Rattus norvegicus: one gene and its partners. The protein of the gene in region 4 purifies or fractionates together with the protein of the main gene of each other region. This does not show direct contact. Links are inferred from orthologs where the notes say so. Each region holds a gene or a part of one and is shown on either strand. Other genes may lie near its edges. The genes, in order: Ctnnd1, Jup, Ctnna1 and Cdh5.

The links.
Region 1: the proteins of Cdh5 (region 4) and Ctnnd1 purify together in Homo sapiens (affinity purification with western blotting; 3 studies listed by BioGRID and IntAct, counting the BioPlex papers as one, with this or other methods). This does not show direct contact. The link is inferred for Rattus norvegicus from reciprocal best matches to the Homo sapiens genes CDH5 and CTNND1.
Region 2: the proteins of Cdh5 (region 4) and Jup purify together in Homo sapiens (affinity purification with western blotting; 3 studies listed by BioGRID and IntAct, with this or other methods). This does not show direct contact. The link is inferred for Rattus norvegicus from reciprocal best matches to the Homo sapiens genes CDH5 and JUP.
Region 3: the proteins of Cdh5 (region 4) and Ctnna1 purify together in Homo sapiens (affinity purification with western blotting; 4 studies listed by BioGRID and IntAct, counting the BioPlex papers as one, with this or other methods). This does not show direct contact. The link is inferred for Rattus norvegicus from reciprocal best matches to the Homo sapiens genes CDH5 and CTNNA1.

Annotation. Positions count from the first base shown.
Region 1 is NC_086021.1:90,099,634-90,103,195, forward strand, and holds part of Ctnnd1 (catenin delta-1), read right to left. Parts: intron 3,092-3,562; coding exon 2,938-3,091; intron 2,135-2,937; coding exon of another isoform or gene 2,117-2,134; intron 1,673-2,116; coding exon 1,604-1,672; intron 581-1,603; coding exon 453-580; intron 355-452; coding exon 204-354; intron 1-203. UniProt on the Homo sapiens protein: Key regulator of cell-cell adhesion that associates with and regulates the cell adhesion properties of both C-, E- and N-cadherins, being critical for their surface stability.
Region 2 is NC_086028.1:85,824,575-85,828,726, reverse strand, and holds the start of Jup (junction plakoglobin), read left to right. Parts: upstream 1-1,297; 5' UTR 1,298-1,683; exon of another isoform or gene 1,684-1,756; intron 1,757-4,152. UniProt on the Homo sapiens protein: Common junctional plaque protein. The membrane-associated plaques are architectural elements in an important strategic position to influence the arrangement and function of both the cytoskeleton and the cells within the tissue.
Region 3 is NC_086036.1:27,001,213-27,005,427, reverse strand, and holds the start of Ctnna1 (catenin alpha-1), read right to left. Parts: upstream 2,829-4,215; 5' UTR 2,763-2,828; intron 2,588-2,762; exon of another isoform or gene 2,254-2,587; intron 1-2,253. UniProt on the Homo sapiens protein: Associates with the cytoplasmic domain of a variety of cadherins. The association of catenins to cadherins produces a complex which is linked to the actin filament network, and which seems to be of primary importance for cadherins cell-adhesion properties.
Region 4 is NC_086037.1:822,789-826,350, forward strand, and holds the end of Cdh5 (cadherin-5), read right to left. Parts: intron 2,987-3,562; coding exon 2,741-2,986; intron 1,198-2,740; coding exon of another isoform or gene 1,195-1,197; coding exon 677-1,194; 3' UTR 519-676; downstream 1-518. UniProt on the Homo sapiens protein: Cadherins are calcium-dependent cell adhesion proteins. They preferentially interact with themselves in a homophilic manner in connecting cells; cadherins may thus contribute to the sorting of heterogeneous cell types.

The DNA of each region.
Region 1 (3,562 bases), on a different chromosome or scaffold from region 4:
TATTCAACAAATAATAATGGTTATAATGTTTTGGAAGAATCATCACTTCTTGCTTTTGTAAGATCCACAAAACTATGAACCTTCAACACTCAGAAATATAAACTATGAAGGATTATAAGATCCTTCTCCTCAGTGATGTCAACAAATGACTAAACGTTTGCTGGATTCCAGGCACTGTGCTAGGCACTAGTTCAAATCCTTACCAATTAACTCTTTGTTCCGAGCATCCACAGCCAGATTTCTCAGTGCCCCAGAGGCAGCTTTCACTACTCGCTCGTGTTCACTGGTCAGGAGGTCAGCTATGGCAGAGAGAGCCTTCTCTTGACGAAGAGCAGAGCGGATGTATCTGCCATACTAGGAAACACATGGGAAGCGGTAAAAAGATTACAAATGGTAGCAAACTAGTTATCTACACTCCCTATCTCCAAATCCATTTTCTTAGAGGTACTCACTGTCCAGCGCCCAGCACACAAGTTCTGGATAGCTCCAGCCGAGGCTTCTAGGATGGCAGGTGTCTTGCTCTCCTTAAGGAGTGAAATGTATATTCGCACCACTTCTGGCTGAAATAAGAGTTCATAGCCTGCACAGGAAAGGGCAAAACAGAAATCACTAATCAATGCCTACAAACCAGGCTCTGGCTGCCTGCAGTTCTGCTTCTCCATCATCAGGCCCCTCGAATTCCCTATCAGTCATGAGCAAATTCAGAGGCTTGATTTCATGTCTGTCTTCTCGGGTTTTTGTTTTGTCTTTTGAGACAGGGCCTTGCAATGTCAAGCAGACTGGCCTCAAACTCATAATCTTCCTGTCTTAACCTGTGAGTACTAGGACAACACATGTACCACGGATCTCTGTGAGTTTGAAGCCAGCCTGGTCTACAGACAAGTGTTCCAGGAAGCCATGGTTACATGGTGTGGTGCTGACTCACAAACAAAAAAACTACTACTAGCCCATGGTAAAAAAGAGAATAGACAGCAACGCAATTATATTCAATTCCTCTCTCCTTTCTCCTTGACTTGTACCTCATAGCTAACTTTAGCTTTGTTTGTTCCATAAGCAACCAGGCCTAATGATTCAACATCTGAAACAAAAAATTATTTCTAATTTAACTCAATCATTGTCCCCATCATGAGTATGACTAAATGATAAACAGCCTGAGATAACATAATTTAATTATCAACCTTTATATTTATAGAAAGCTAGCAAGTTTATATTCATTAATATACTGGATCCAAACATCCAAGCTGAGATAAAGGCATTTCTTCTAACAGTAAGGTTCAAGATCCAAAAACCTGCAGTGGCCATGCAGATAGCTAAGTCTCTTTTCTTATGTTTTTCTGAGGCATGCTCTCCCTGTGGATCCCAACATGGCTTTGAACTGATAGCAGTTCTCCTGCCTCAGCTACTCAAGTACTAAGGTTGCATACATGCACCATTATACCCAGCCTAGTTTCTAGCTCTAGACTAAATACTTGTGAATGAATTTTCCCAACACTTTTACTGTCACTTCAAATCTACTCAGTCAGAGAGAAATGTTCACATAGTGCATAAAACATGTTACCATATCCAAATTCTCTAGAGACAGAGAATAAGGAGGGTAGCTTACCCCGAGCAGGACTAGTTCTTTTAGGGAAATCCACTGTATCATTTGCTGGATCCTCGGTAGGCTTTTTCCCTATGAAAATGGAGAAAGGGCGGAGAGAACAGGGTAAAGAACTTTTTTTTTTAAAAGGAAAGATTCGACCTGACAGTTTTCATCCTTCAGTCAGAATCTTCAGATCATAGATGCAGCATCAAAAGAAGCAAAAGAAGGGAAAGCCCACACATAACTGTCCCAACAGGGATGATGCAGAAACAAGGAGGACCAAAACAGGCAGTAAACTGTATAAAAGGAAGGCCACTCCGGATGCTGTGAACTCAGTTCTGATAACATGGACTGCTGTCCAGAAACAGCATCTCAAAACCACAACCCAGAAGGTTTAAACTGATTCCAATGGTTCTCCTCAACTAAGTTTTCCTACATGCATCCACAGGGAAGGGTTAGACAAAGAGATATTAAGAAAGGTAAGAACCAAACCATGCAAGTTAGCAGACAAGCGCCTTAAAAGATTGCACTTACCTCTAGAGAACCACTCATCTTCCAGTGCATCACCAAGGTGGAAAGCGAGGAGAGAAATGAAGGAAGAAAACGCAGGAGAAAGATGTCAACAGGATCATGGGCAAGTACACAAGAAAGCAGAGGAGGAGGAAGAATAGGGAGGAAGGCCCCAGTTTAGCTCAGTTCTTGTCATTCACTGCCCTAGATGCCAAAACACTAACAATCATCACCATCCTCACATCACTACCACCAACCACCACCACTACTACCAACAACCACCACCACCAACCACCACCACCAACCACCAACAACAACCACCAACAACCACCACCAAACAACAACAACCACCACCAACCACCACCAACCACCACTACCACCAACCACCACCAACCACCACCACCACCAACCACCACTACCACCAACCACCACCAACAACAACAACCACCACCAACCACCACCAACAACAACAACCACCACCAACCACCACCAACCACCAACCACCACCAACCACCATCACTACCACCACTACCACCAACCACCATCACTACCACCACTACCACCACCACCAACAACAACAACCACCACCAACCACCACCAACCACCAACCACCACCAACCACCATCACTACCACCACTACCACCACCACCACCAACCACCAACCACCACCAACCACCATCACTACCACCACTACCACCACCACCACCAACAACCACTACCACCACCACCACCAGAGCAAAAGGACACATCTCCATAGGGAGACTTCCACACTATTTATTAAGTACCTATAAAGCTAAGTGTTCCTCTTGCCCCATATTAAAGAATAGGAACTAGATAAGACTCACCTTTGCCCTTCTTGGCCCCAAAGCAACTGGCAGCATGTGGCCCAGTACTGTTAGCCACACTAGGAAGTGCCTCCTGGTAACGCTCTGCCTGTGGGATTTCACGATGAACTTGATATGATAAGTTCCGAAGGAGGCAAACACAATTCTCCACAAGCTTAGGGACATAAAAGAAAAGGTTCAGTTGGAAAAGAGAATGCTTATGATGGTTTCCAAGAAAATCTAAGTCTCCATGATTTGAGTATTAAACTATCAATCCTAAATGCATGACTCAATCCGTCTTCTCTCAGATTGCCTTGTAAGAACCTCAAGATCCTCAAAATCCTTATCTTCATGCAAATAGAAGGACTAATTATAGACATTTAATGGCTTTTGCAACTAGTTGGTGACCCAATACATAGGTCACTGTTTTTTCTACTAAGAAAATATATAATCTGGAAGGCTACTAAGCAGCTTAACTATATATGGGACACACACACCTAAAGAAAACTATCTTTGGAGCTTAAGGGAAGCTCAGTCATTGACAGCACTTACTGCCCAAGTCGGACTGACCTTGACTGCACCTATGAACCCAGTGCTATAGGAACAGGGTTGCTGAAGGTGTCTGCTGCCAGCCCAGCTAAACAGC
Region 2 (4,152 bases), on a different chromosome or scaffold from region 4:
TCACACTTGCCCAACTGAGACATCACACAAGCCCATTAAAGATTCTCTTAATGCGGATCATTTTGAACCCTCTTTGTAGACCAGGGTGGCCTCTAACTCAGAGAGCTGCCTGCCTCTGCCTCCTTGAGTGCCGAGGTTAAGGTTAAAGGCCCGTGTCACCACTGCCTGGCTGCCTGCTCCAGCACTTTTTAAGAACTGTCTCGAACGGACCATCTCACTGGCTTAAATACTGACATTCCTCAGCTGTTTAAGCTACAAAGTTTATTTAATCTCTCCAACCCAAGATAGATAAAGCTAATGAACCCACTTAGATACAGGGTGAAAAGTATACTAGCTGGCCTAAGGTCATACAAAGATTAAGGGGAGAACCCAAACCAGGCCTTCTAATTCTAAACAGAAGAGAACCGGGAACACTCCATCTTTTGTAGGGGGAGAAATCCCAACCTAGCACAAAGCCTATGAAATGCTTTACAAACATCTTATTACTATGTTGAGGCAAGAATGAATAATCCTGACGCTGAGTTGGCTGGCTAGTGAAGGCGTCAGTCCTTTCCCATGCTTCCCCCTGACTCACCTGTTGGACAGGTAGGGGGAAGGGGAGAATAATGAGTCTTACCTGCTCAGGGCTAGGGTGGGGCAAGTAACGCCCCACCTGTTCCATTGGCTTTTGCCTTAGTCTTACTGACAGCCCTCTGTCCAATCATAAGGAAGAAACTTTCTATTTGCCAATAGATGCAGAGTGAGGATGAGACCTCAAGTTGGCGTCCACCCCAGAGTCGACTGGCAGTCCCTGGGGCCAATGGTGAGCGCATAAACAGAGGCGGCCGTGGTAGAGGTCCCGGCGTGAGGCTCCGCCCCTCAATAGGATAGTCAGGCTGGGCAGCCAGTGAGATAACCTCAGAGGGTGGGAGTCTCCCTAGGGGGCGGAGCTTCAAGGGGGCGAGAGGTGTGGCTTGGCTGTCAGGTCCCTTTGCCTTTTGTTCGGTTACTGAGTTGCTGCCTTGGCCAGAGTCCGGAGCAGCCGCCGCCCGAGCGCCCCGAGCTCAGTTCGCTGCCTGCGCCGGCTGTCTCCCGGCCAGACCCGACCCCGACCCGGCTCGGCCCGGCTCCACGCTCAGGTACACCGGATAGGGGTACGTATCACTGAGGGTAGAGTAGGGCAAGCGGCCGAGAGGTTGGTTCCAGCGGTTTCAGGGCAGGTGAGGGCGGGTGCCAGGGAGTGCATCCTACACCAGCGACAGGGGGCGCACTGGGGTCCGGGGCACGGGACCCCTGGGACAAGCGATCTGGGTTGGAGCGCCCCTCCAGGCTCGGTGAACCGCAGGTCTGAGAAGGGCGGGGAGGAACTAGGGCAGGTGCCTCGGAGTTCGCGCCTCCCCCAGGGCCCGCGGAGCTTGCCCGACGCGGCGTCGCTGACTCTCCCCTGGAGCTGACCGGGCAGACTTTGACCCGCTCCGCCTGGTCCCAGATCCCACGGTGACAGGAATTTACCGCTCGGGAAACTTGCTGCCTAGTCTCTTTGGGGCCACCCTCACCCCACCCCACGCGTCATCCTCGCTTTCCCTCCCTCCCTACTCCCCCAGGCCTGGGTGGGGCCCTATTGTCTGCGCCCAGCTTACCCAACTGTGGGGGCCGAGTGCACATTTTCCCAGAGACGCGATTCCCACCTGCTGAGCAGAGCAGGTGAGCGCTTGGAGGACCGAGGCCCTGCCCTGTAGCTCCGAGCTGGACCTGTGGCGCCTCCCTCCGCTCTAGTGTACGCCGGTCTATGGCTTCTCTTACGGAGGTGGATGGGGTGACGGGGGAACTGGTGAAGGGTCTGGGCTCAGTGCCCTACCGATGTCTGTCTGACCTGGTGGCATGGCCTGGAGTCTGGGCCGGTAGAGAAAATTAAGAAACACTCGCCCAGATTTTAGTAGCTTGTGGTTTCCAGAGTGTTGGTAGGGAAACAGCGATATCTTTTGATTTCTGCAACCCATTATTGTTGAGAAATCACTCCAAACAAACTTTCCAGGAGAAAGTAACCGTGGGGGCCTTTTCTAGGATTTTCCCCGTCTCCTTGTTGAGAGCTGATTCAAGGCTTGGTGGTACTTCTTAGAGGAAAGCCTCTTCCCTGGTCAGCTCCAAGCTGAACACAGCCTGTGCGCTTTGACCCGGTTCTCCCTGCCCCCACCTCCATCCTGTTTGCTAGGCCCCTAAGGCCCGAGGTAGGGACCAATGGGGGTGGGTGGGGGCGTTGCTGAAAAGGGAAGTGTCTTCTTCCTTCCCTTTTCGCATCCTCACGGGACCACCACACCCCCTTATATGAGGCCTGCTAAGTGCCTCTCCTCCCAAGCTCTGCCCCTTCCCCAGGAATGGGGTTGGGGCAGGGCTGGGCCAAACTAGGAAGATTGGGAAGAGTGATTAATCTTTCCCCAACTCCCCCGTTCCATCCCCCAGCTTATTTAGCTGGCTGACCATTGAGGCAGGGTAGCATAGGGCAGGAATGTTGCTTGCTGTTCACTGGGTTTGAATTATGAAGGTGCGTCCTTTCTAGAGGACTTGCCAGAAGTCCCTCCTCCACCCACTCTTTAACTGAGTGTTTGGCGGGGAAAGTGGGACAGGAGGAAGTCTTTGCTATGGAAGGCTTCTGCCATGCCAGGCACCCTCAGGGTGAACAGTGTGAGCCCTCCCCTTGGTTCCCTGTGCTGAGAGCTCCTCTCCAGCTGGAATTGTCAACTTCTACTCGGCTTGCTGCACTCTTCTGTACAAATCTGAAGATTGGCCTTTTCATAGGCATTTGGAGTCCAGTCTTCTTGGGGGGACAGAGCAGGAATGACAACGCTAGCGGGGGGGGGGGGCAGAGGGAAGATGGGGTGGGGGTCGTGAGCACTGTTTGCTCTGATTCTCCTGGAAGCTGAGGTGGTGCTTGGTTGTGAATAGAAGAGTGGGGGTGGGAGACATATCCCCCGTAATCTCGCCTTAGGTCCTGTGGTTGGTAAAATATGTGTGACCACCTCTAGGAAGAACTGGGGGCATTAGTTTTAGGCTCATGTCCTCTCCGTGTCAAGGAGGAGGAGGGGTAGGCATTGTCATTAGGTGAACTAAATGAATAGTTTAGCAAATCTGGTTCGTGGCTCTGGTGAAAAGACAGTACTGAGGAAGAAGTAGGGCTATGAGCTGCCCGGCCCAAGCTGGCTTCTGACGGACAGGAGGGAGGGGAAGCAAAGGTAGGATCCGATTAGTCATTTCTCACCAGATCAAGTCTGGGCTTGGGTGACAGAAGCCTCCCCCGCACCCGAGCTCCACCCCATTCCCTCTGGAGCCGCCGTCTGGCCTGCTAAGGTTGAGCTTGGAGAATGCAGCCTGTGGGAACGGAAGGTCAGGCGGGGCCTGCTTGACTGTTTTCCTTCCTGGGGGCCCACAGGTCATTGCCTATGAGAGGGAGGCCTGTCGTCCTGCAGAGCTGCTTTAGGACAAGGTGACACATTTGGCTGGTCCACAGAAGGACAGTGATCTAGGGAGACAGTCTAAGGGGTCAGCTCTGAGAACAGGGACTTGGACTGAGATAGTTTGAATCCCTGAGCAGTGTCTCCTTACCTGTGCAGCCTGCGTCAAAGCACCTTCCTGGCTCAGCGACCTCAGGAATTAATAAACCTAGCTACCCAGAAAGTACTTGACTGATGGTAACTCAAAGCCAGAAGACTGTCTGGTACCAAGCGCCACTAACCATGCTCACAGAGGCAGGCGCACTTTTTTTTTTTTTTAAAGATTTATTTATTTATTTTATGTATATGAACACACTGTAGCTGTCTTCAGACATACCAGAAGAGGGTATCAGATCTCATTACAGATGGTTGTGAGCCACCATGTGGTTGCTGGGAATTGAACTCAGGACCTCTGGAAGAGCAGGCAATGCTCTTAACCACTGAGCCATCTCTCCAGCCCGAGGCAGGCGCACTTTAATGTCTTCTTCAGAAACTCAGGGAAGGATAGCAACTTGCCCAGTGTTGCTAGACTCAAGAGAGGGCTAAGCTCAGACCTCATTCTGCTGTTAGGCTCTACTACAACTCTGGAAGGATTTCTTTTTTCTTTCCCCTTTTTCTTTTGGCTGCTAAGGACCAAATCCAGGGCCTTGTGGATTTGCACGTAGGCAAGCACTTTCCCATGGGA
Region 3 (4,215 bases), on a different chromosome or scaffold from region 4:
ACACTCTAGGGCGGATCCTGTCCCTGACTAGATTTGGGCAGGGCAAGGTTGAAGAAAGCTCCAGTTGCCCTGAACAGCAGTTAGACTGTAATCAATTACCTCATCTGTCATTGACTGCCCTAAGCTTAGACTGAGAAAGACTTTCTTCCTCCTTCATTCAGTGCAGCATCTAATTTGCCCTCCTTACCAGATACCAACCAAAGGTTGGAGAGGGCATGAGCCTTGCCTTGAATAGATTTACAGGGCTCACTTCCCAACAAGGCCTGCAAACAGGGCTATCAATAAGTTACAACGCAAACAGAAGTTACTAAAAAACTTAAACACAAAATTTGCTACCAGAAATGAAAACGCTGGCTCTTGAGAAAAGAGTTCAATGCTTCAGAAGCTTTACCCAGATGCCTGGATGCCACCTCTACCCAATTTGTATCTGGATCCTTTCCACTCATCCAGGTCACCTTTACCCACATGACCTTCCCCACTAACTCCTTGCCTTTACACACACACCAATTCAAATTTTCTCTAAGCACCAGCAAGGAATAAAACAATGTTCAGATCGTGAAAGCCCTATATCATCTTACAGTTTTAGAATAAAATCTAAATCTGTGACCTGGCCTTTGCCTTCCCTGGCAACCTTCTCCCTACTTCAGTACTAACAATAAACAGATCTCCTCTAAACCTGTAGGCCTCCAAATGCCTAGCCAATGCTCAGGCTACTTACACCTGCTTCGGATCCTATTCCTTCATCCTGTCTAGGTCTCAGCCAGTACACAACCACCGACACCTTCAACAAGCAGGGAGAGCTAGCTGTACTATCACTAATGTGACTTTCTTTAAAATTACAAGATATAAGGAGACCCATGTGGGTCAGGAGAGAAACTACACTCAAAATAAAAAACTGGACGTTTGCGGCTAAGGTTGATGACAGAGGTAGGGGTGTGCAGCTCAAATATAGAGCACATGCCTAGCAAGCACAGCTCTAGGTTTGTTCTCCAATACAACAGTGTGGGGTTTGATGAGAAAAGGCACAAGGCGGTGAGTGATACTCAACTAGGAGGGGAAAAAAGCCACCCTTCATCTCTGATCACCATATAAAATGTTTCTAATGGGAATGGAGATGGGTGTCACACAACTGATATTGGAAACCAATATATTTGGTTAGAATCATATGCAAGAAAAGGAGGGGTTGAAAAGTAAAGGGGGGAAAAAACCAGAATATCACCATTCCACTTAAATGCCCTTTTAGATTTCCCTATTCCTTCTGTCGCATTACTTCAACTCATGCTTCACCCAGTTCAAAAGCCACCACCTTCCAGAACAGCTTATAAACCTAGTTAACACCCCCAACCATGCTCCCACAAGTTTCTGTTGTTTGCATTATTATACAATATGACCCAGACAGGTGTGATGGCACACATCTAAACCCCAACACTCAGGAAGCTTAAGCTAGTTTGAGGCTTCACAGTGAGATCCAGAATGGAAAAAGAAAAAAGGATATGACACTTGAGAAGCTTCCAGGCCTCAAAGAGAATTTTAAAAACCTGGTCTTTTTTTTTTTTTTTTTTTTAGCTTAGTTTAAGGCAGGAAGTATGAACAATTAAACAGAGGCCACCAATTATTTCCCCACTCAATCCTTTTGTAAAACAAAACAAATTCCATTTCATGAGGTAACATCCACCAGTAGTCTTTAAAAACCAACGCTAAACACAAAATAACCTTCTTAAAACACCTAAAAGATGCAAAACAATGATGAAACAGATTTACAGCATAAATTATTCTAAGTTCCATAGACACACACACACACACACACACACACACACACACGCACACTTAAAATAAAACCAAACGTTATGAAGGCACAGAAGTATCAATCCTCGATTTGAGCCAACCGCTCACTGAATTATTGGGGTGGCCACTGCTTGAAAACCAAGGTTACAAATCCAGTCAACAACATCCCCGCCCCCCAAGTTCTACACACATATTAACAAGTTCCTTTTAAAGTCGAAAGGCGGGTCATTGACATCGCAGGCTGGCGATGCCCGCCCTCGGGATTCTGAGGCAGGGAAACCGAGCGATCCAGGTCAGACTGGGCTACTTAGTTAGCAAGATCCGCTCTCAGTAATCAAATGTTAGTAACTCTAATGCTACTCCTGAAAACTAAGAGTAATGTCAGTCAGGTTTAGCAGCAAAAGAGGCTGAGTAATTTTAAGATAAAAATTAAACTCCATGCCACAAGTCCACACGGGTGTGGCGCACCTTAAGGAAAAGAGCGCTGGAGAACAGGAAACTACGACTTCCATTCTCCATGGGTCGGGCTGGAATGTCCGCTCCTCCGACCTCTAGTCCCGCAAACCACCAAGTTTCAGCCGCGGGCAGGGGGAGGGGAGTGGCCGACACAAATCCTCGAAACAATCGCGTCCCTAAAGCGCCCCACAGCCCGACCGCCAGGAACACGCCGCGGTTGTCCCTCAGTGAGGGAGACGGCCTGAGGCGCGACGCCGATCCCGCGCGCGCTCCCTGCTCCGGGAACAAAGTTTAGAAAGAGGGAGAAAGTTTTCCAAGGAAGCGCCCCGGCGGTCGCCCTGCTTCCCGAGCGTCGGGCTCCGCCCGCCCAGGCCCAGGCTGCTCAGGGAAGCCGCCCTAACCCGACGCTCCAGGGCGGCGGCGGCCGAAAGCCCGAGCCGGACACCCGGGACCCCGGCCTGAGGAGACCCGCGCCCCACCAGGGGGCCCCGCGCACCCCGAGGGAAGGTACGAAGAGTTACCTGCGGCGAACGGGGCGAGCGCTGGACGACTCCTGAGGCGCCAAGCCGACGGCCACCGCTTTGTCTCCCGCCCGTCCGGCTCCCAGGAGGAAATGGGCCGCCCTGCGCCCCCGCCCCCGGCCCGCCCCGCGCCGCGCCGCGCCCGCCCTTCCCGGCACCTCCCTCCGCGCGCTCTTCCCGGCGCCTCCCGAGGCCTCCTCACCGCTGGTCCCGGCCTGGCGCAGCCGGCGCTTTCTAGGGAGAGCCTCCCACCCGGAAGGTAGCCTGGCAACTCCAGGCCCGGACCCCCAGAAGTCCTTTTTGTATGGCCTTTGGGCACGGAGACCCCGGACCCCCGACGGGAAGGAGGGGCGGAGACTCGGGGAACAGCCCGCGGCGGGGAAAGGCGGGCGGAGGGCAGGTGAGTCACGGCTCCCGGCTCAGGTGAGTCTCGGGGCGCGGCCCCGGAAGGCCCCGCCCCGTCCGGCTCCCGGAGACCGCGCGGCGACGCAGGGTTCGCGGAACGCACTGCTGTGACCAAGTACCCCGTATCCTAGTCCAAGGCGTCCAGAAAAGGGGGCAACCTTCTGCTTTGCTTTAGGAGAAGAAACACACCAAGTAAAAGTTCCACCTCTCCGGGCACAGTGGAACGGGAACCTCAGGATCTGTTTTGGTCTTTTTTTCTTTTGTTTTGTGGTGTTTGTTTTGTTGTGTTATTTTATTTTTGAAGTAGGGTCTTACATAGCTCAGGCCGGTTTCCAACTGGCTGTGTAAGAAAGAATGACCTAAAAACTTTTTTTTATTATTACAGCAATGTTTTTAGTCTCAGTGTTCCGGAGGCAGAGACAGGCCAATCTCTGATCCGTGAGTTTCTGAGCTTGTGTGGAAATCAAGACGTGCGGTTTCTCTTTCACTATGTGGATCCTGGGGATTGAATTTACCCAAGTGCCAATTTACCCTGAATTCCTAATCCTCCTGCACACCCCCGCAACTCCTGAGATTATATTATAGGTCTGCACCATTACACCTGGTCTTTTAGAGCCTCTTAAAAAGAGTGGGAAAATGAGAGAGATGGCTCTGTGGGTAAAGGTGTTTGCCACTCTGCCAACAACTATCCTCGCAACCTGAGTTGTGGAAAGACAGAATGAAGTCCACAGAGTTGCCCTATAACTTCCACACTGGTACAGATGGCATATCCACCCATGTACATAGAACACATAATAATTTGAATTTTAAGAAAAGACAATTGGAGATGTCTCGGTGATAAAGTGCTTGCCTAGTATACCCTGGATTTAGTCTTCAGCACTACAAAAACAAAAACAAAAAAGACATACCTTCACAAGGCCATTCTTGTCCAACCACTTATTCTGTTTCTACCTTTGGGGTTTTGCCTCCCATAGTCCTCTCTGACTGCAGTGTCTATGCTTTCCCCTTACTTCACTTGACTATGTCAGAACGTAATGATTACATAATA
Region 4 (3,562 bases):
TAGGGCTGGGCCTGCCGGATCATCTCAGGACCCAAGGTCAGGAGCAGCTGACTGTCTCCTTCCTCCCTGGACAGGCCTGGGGAGGGGCTGGGGAGTAGCTGGGCATTGGGTAGATGTGAGGGAGACTCAGCAGTGCTGGGCCTCCTGAGAGCAGGCATAATGGATCAGTTACAGCCTCCCTCTGGACTGGGCTTGAAGTCCTGTTCAATAGCTCATGCCATCCAGTCTTCTGCCATCAGACAGACAGATAGCCTTACCAGGGGCTCGGAGACCCTTGCGGAAGACTAGAAGTTTAGCATAGTCAGTTTTGCTTGGCAGTTTTGAAGGGACAGGAGGTCTGGAATAGATTGGGAGTGTGTGTGTGTGTGTGTGTGTGTGTGTGTGTGTGTGTGTGTGTGTGTGTGGTGGGGGGGGGGCAGGATGGGATCCCAGAGAGAATACTAGTCTCGCTTTTCCAGTTTTTTGGAGTGGCCATCAATAAGATATGTTTCTGTTCCTGGATATTTAAGGGGCCTGAAATTTGCTACCTTGGGGATGGAAGTGTCTTTGGTACCCACAGGCAAGGGCCACTGGGTTGGAGAGTCTGTGTCACACCTTGGAAATCAGGGAAGGCAATGTCGGGTGTCTGATCCAGGTTGCAATGAGATTGGGTCCCCAGGCCCAAAGACCACAAACCCTAGATGATGAGCTCTTCCTGAGGATCTGAGCCATACAGCTCTGCCAGCATCTTGAACCTGGGTCCCCAGTCATTGAGGAAGTCATAGTCGATGTCAGAGTCGGAGGAATTGGTGCTCAGGGAGCTGAGGGACTCTGCGATGGACTCTGTGCCCTCGTAGCCGTAGATGTGCAGTGTATCGTAGGGGGGACCACCGCCATCATTGTCTGCCTCTTCTTTCTTCACCTCGATCATGGTGGCCATCTCTCTGGGCCCTCCGTGCAGGCTAGGCGCCAGTCGTGGAGGCTTCTGCACCTGTGTGTATACTGCTGGCCGGGCATCCATCGTGGACCGCAGAGGCTTGTTGGAGCCGGTGCGCACAGAATTAAGCACAGACACGTCGTAGCTTGTGGTGTCCATCTCGCCACCGCCCTCCTCGTCGTAGGTGACCAACTGCTCATGAATCTCAAGCGCACTCTTGCTATGAGCATGCGCCTGCTTCCGGAGCCGCCTCCGCAGGAAGATCAGCAAGGTGATCACTGCTAGCCAAGAAGTCCGAAGAAGAGATGTGGGTCAGACAGGTTCATTGGATCAGCCTAGACTCCCAGGGCCACTACTATGACTGGGCAAACAGATTTGGTTTGGCCCAAAATATAAGTCAGTGGCATATACCTACTGAAGACTGGGTGGGAATGGGTGTGGGAAGGTCCCCTGATCCTTGAGCTGTGGAGAGCTCCCTCAATGAGACCCAAGCCATCAAGTTTTCTAGCCTTGAGTTAGTTACTAATTTGTTAAATACAAAGAGTGACCCTGGCCTCCCCGAGCCCCAGTTTTCCTGTCTGCAGTGTGGATACATTGAATGCCCCCGTGACACTGGTATTTTGCGATTCTGTGATGTGGGTGGCATCAATACTTTCATCATCATCATCACCACCATCATCATCATCATCACCATCATCATTATCATCATCACCACCACCACCACCACCACCACCACCACCACCACCACCACCACCACCATCATCCATGAAAGAGAAGTCAGTCTCTAATGTCTCTGGCACAGAGGTCCAGGAAATGAACACACACAGTGGGAAGTTCAGAGGCCTGGAGCAAAGGCTGCCTGTACCTCATGACATCCTCGCTTCTCTGTGTGCGCCTCAGGGCTGGTACAGCATAGAGAAAGTACTTTCAAGAAGGAACATCCGCTCTCAATGGGAGAAGTCAGACTCTGCTGGGTGCTAGTGTAAAATGCCTTTCCTGGCAGCTTGCTCTTCACAAAGCCTTGTCTGAGATCTGTTTCTTAGGCAATGTCAGACCTAGGTGAAGCCTAAAGTGCCCCAAAGTGACAAGGCTCAAAATGAAACAAAAGCAAAAGCAAAAGCAAAACAAAACAAAACAAAAAAATGCAAACCAAAGCAAAAATGGACTCTGGAGGAATTCTAAAAAAGCAAAAAAAAAAAAAAACCCTCCAGCGACATTCCAGGCTAGAAGTCTCAAAACTTTCCATTATAAAGGAATTTCAGAAACAATTAAAGCTAGAAATGGTGGCACACACCTTTAATCCCAGCACTCTGAGGGCAAAAGCAAGTGAATTGGAGGTCCACATGCTCTACAGAGTGAGTTCCAGGCCAGTCAGGGGCTGTACAGTGAGATCTTGTCTCAAAATAGATGAGTAATACAGTAAATAATCATTTTAATGTACATCGGTGCCCCAAACAACACCCAGAATATAGTATGCACTCAAAATATATTTAGCAAATGAAGGAATGCCAAGTGTAGATTCATTTTCTTTTTTGTTTTGAAATTGAAGGTGATATTGAACCTGGTGCTTGACACATGCTAGTGACCCTGTCACTGCAATACACCAGGTTAATTTGAAATGGAGTTAGCTTGAAGAATGATTTTATGGCTCATCCTCCTTTCCCTTATTCCATATAGCACCAGGTTAGTGGGGTTACCTATTTATATCTCTGTATCCTATACATACAAGAACTGTGAACTCCAGAGTAGTGCAGGATAGGGCCAGAACCCTGCCTCTTCTCTGAAGCCCTCTTAATGTCTCCTCCCTGTCTATGAGACACTGACCTGTGATGGTGAGGATGCACAGAAAGATGGCTACCAGTGCCTGGATGCTGACACCCGCCTGTGCGGCCATCTCCTCACAGAAGGTGAACTCGCCCTGTTCGTTGCATTTGCACACAGCCACTGTTAGCGTGCCGGTTCCAGTCAGGCTGGGCATCCCATTGTCGGAGATGAGCACAGGCAGGTAGTGGAACTTGGTATGCTCCCGATTAAACTGTCCATACTTGACTGTGATGTTGGCGGTATTGTCTGCAAGCATCAAGACCACAGAGTGAGGCTCTGCCAGGAGCACCTGCCCTCTTGTCCCATGGGGGGAAGCTGCCTCTTTCTGCGTGATTTCATTGCCCTCTTTGTTTCCCGGCCTCATGTTTGAACCCTTTAAGCACAGGCTTGTCCCTTTGCAGAGGATGTACTTGGGTGACTGCTTTGACCCAGCCTAAGGGTGGCCAAGTCAGCGTGTAAGACCCCAATTTTCTGTTTCTGTGGTCAGTGGGTACACATCACTTTTTCCAAACCCATCCCAACAGGGGCTTTTGCTCAGCTCATTGCTGTATTGTTTTACACACACACACACACACACACACACACACACACACACACACACAGATACACCCCCACACACACTGCTGTCACTGCTATTCAGTACTCAGTGGCTATGGGCAAAGGAGAGATGGTCTACTTTTTTTTTTTTTTTTTTTGTAGGTTCCTGGGAGGTTGTAACACTAATGGTCAGAGGACTTACTTAGCCACACAGCCAAAAGCAAATTGGGAGAAATGAGAGACTCCAATATATAGAACATTTGTATGCAAACGACTCTGAGACCA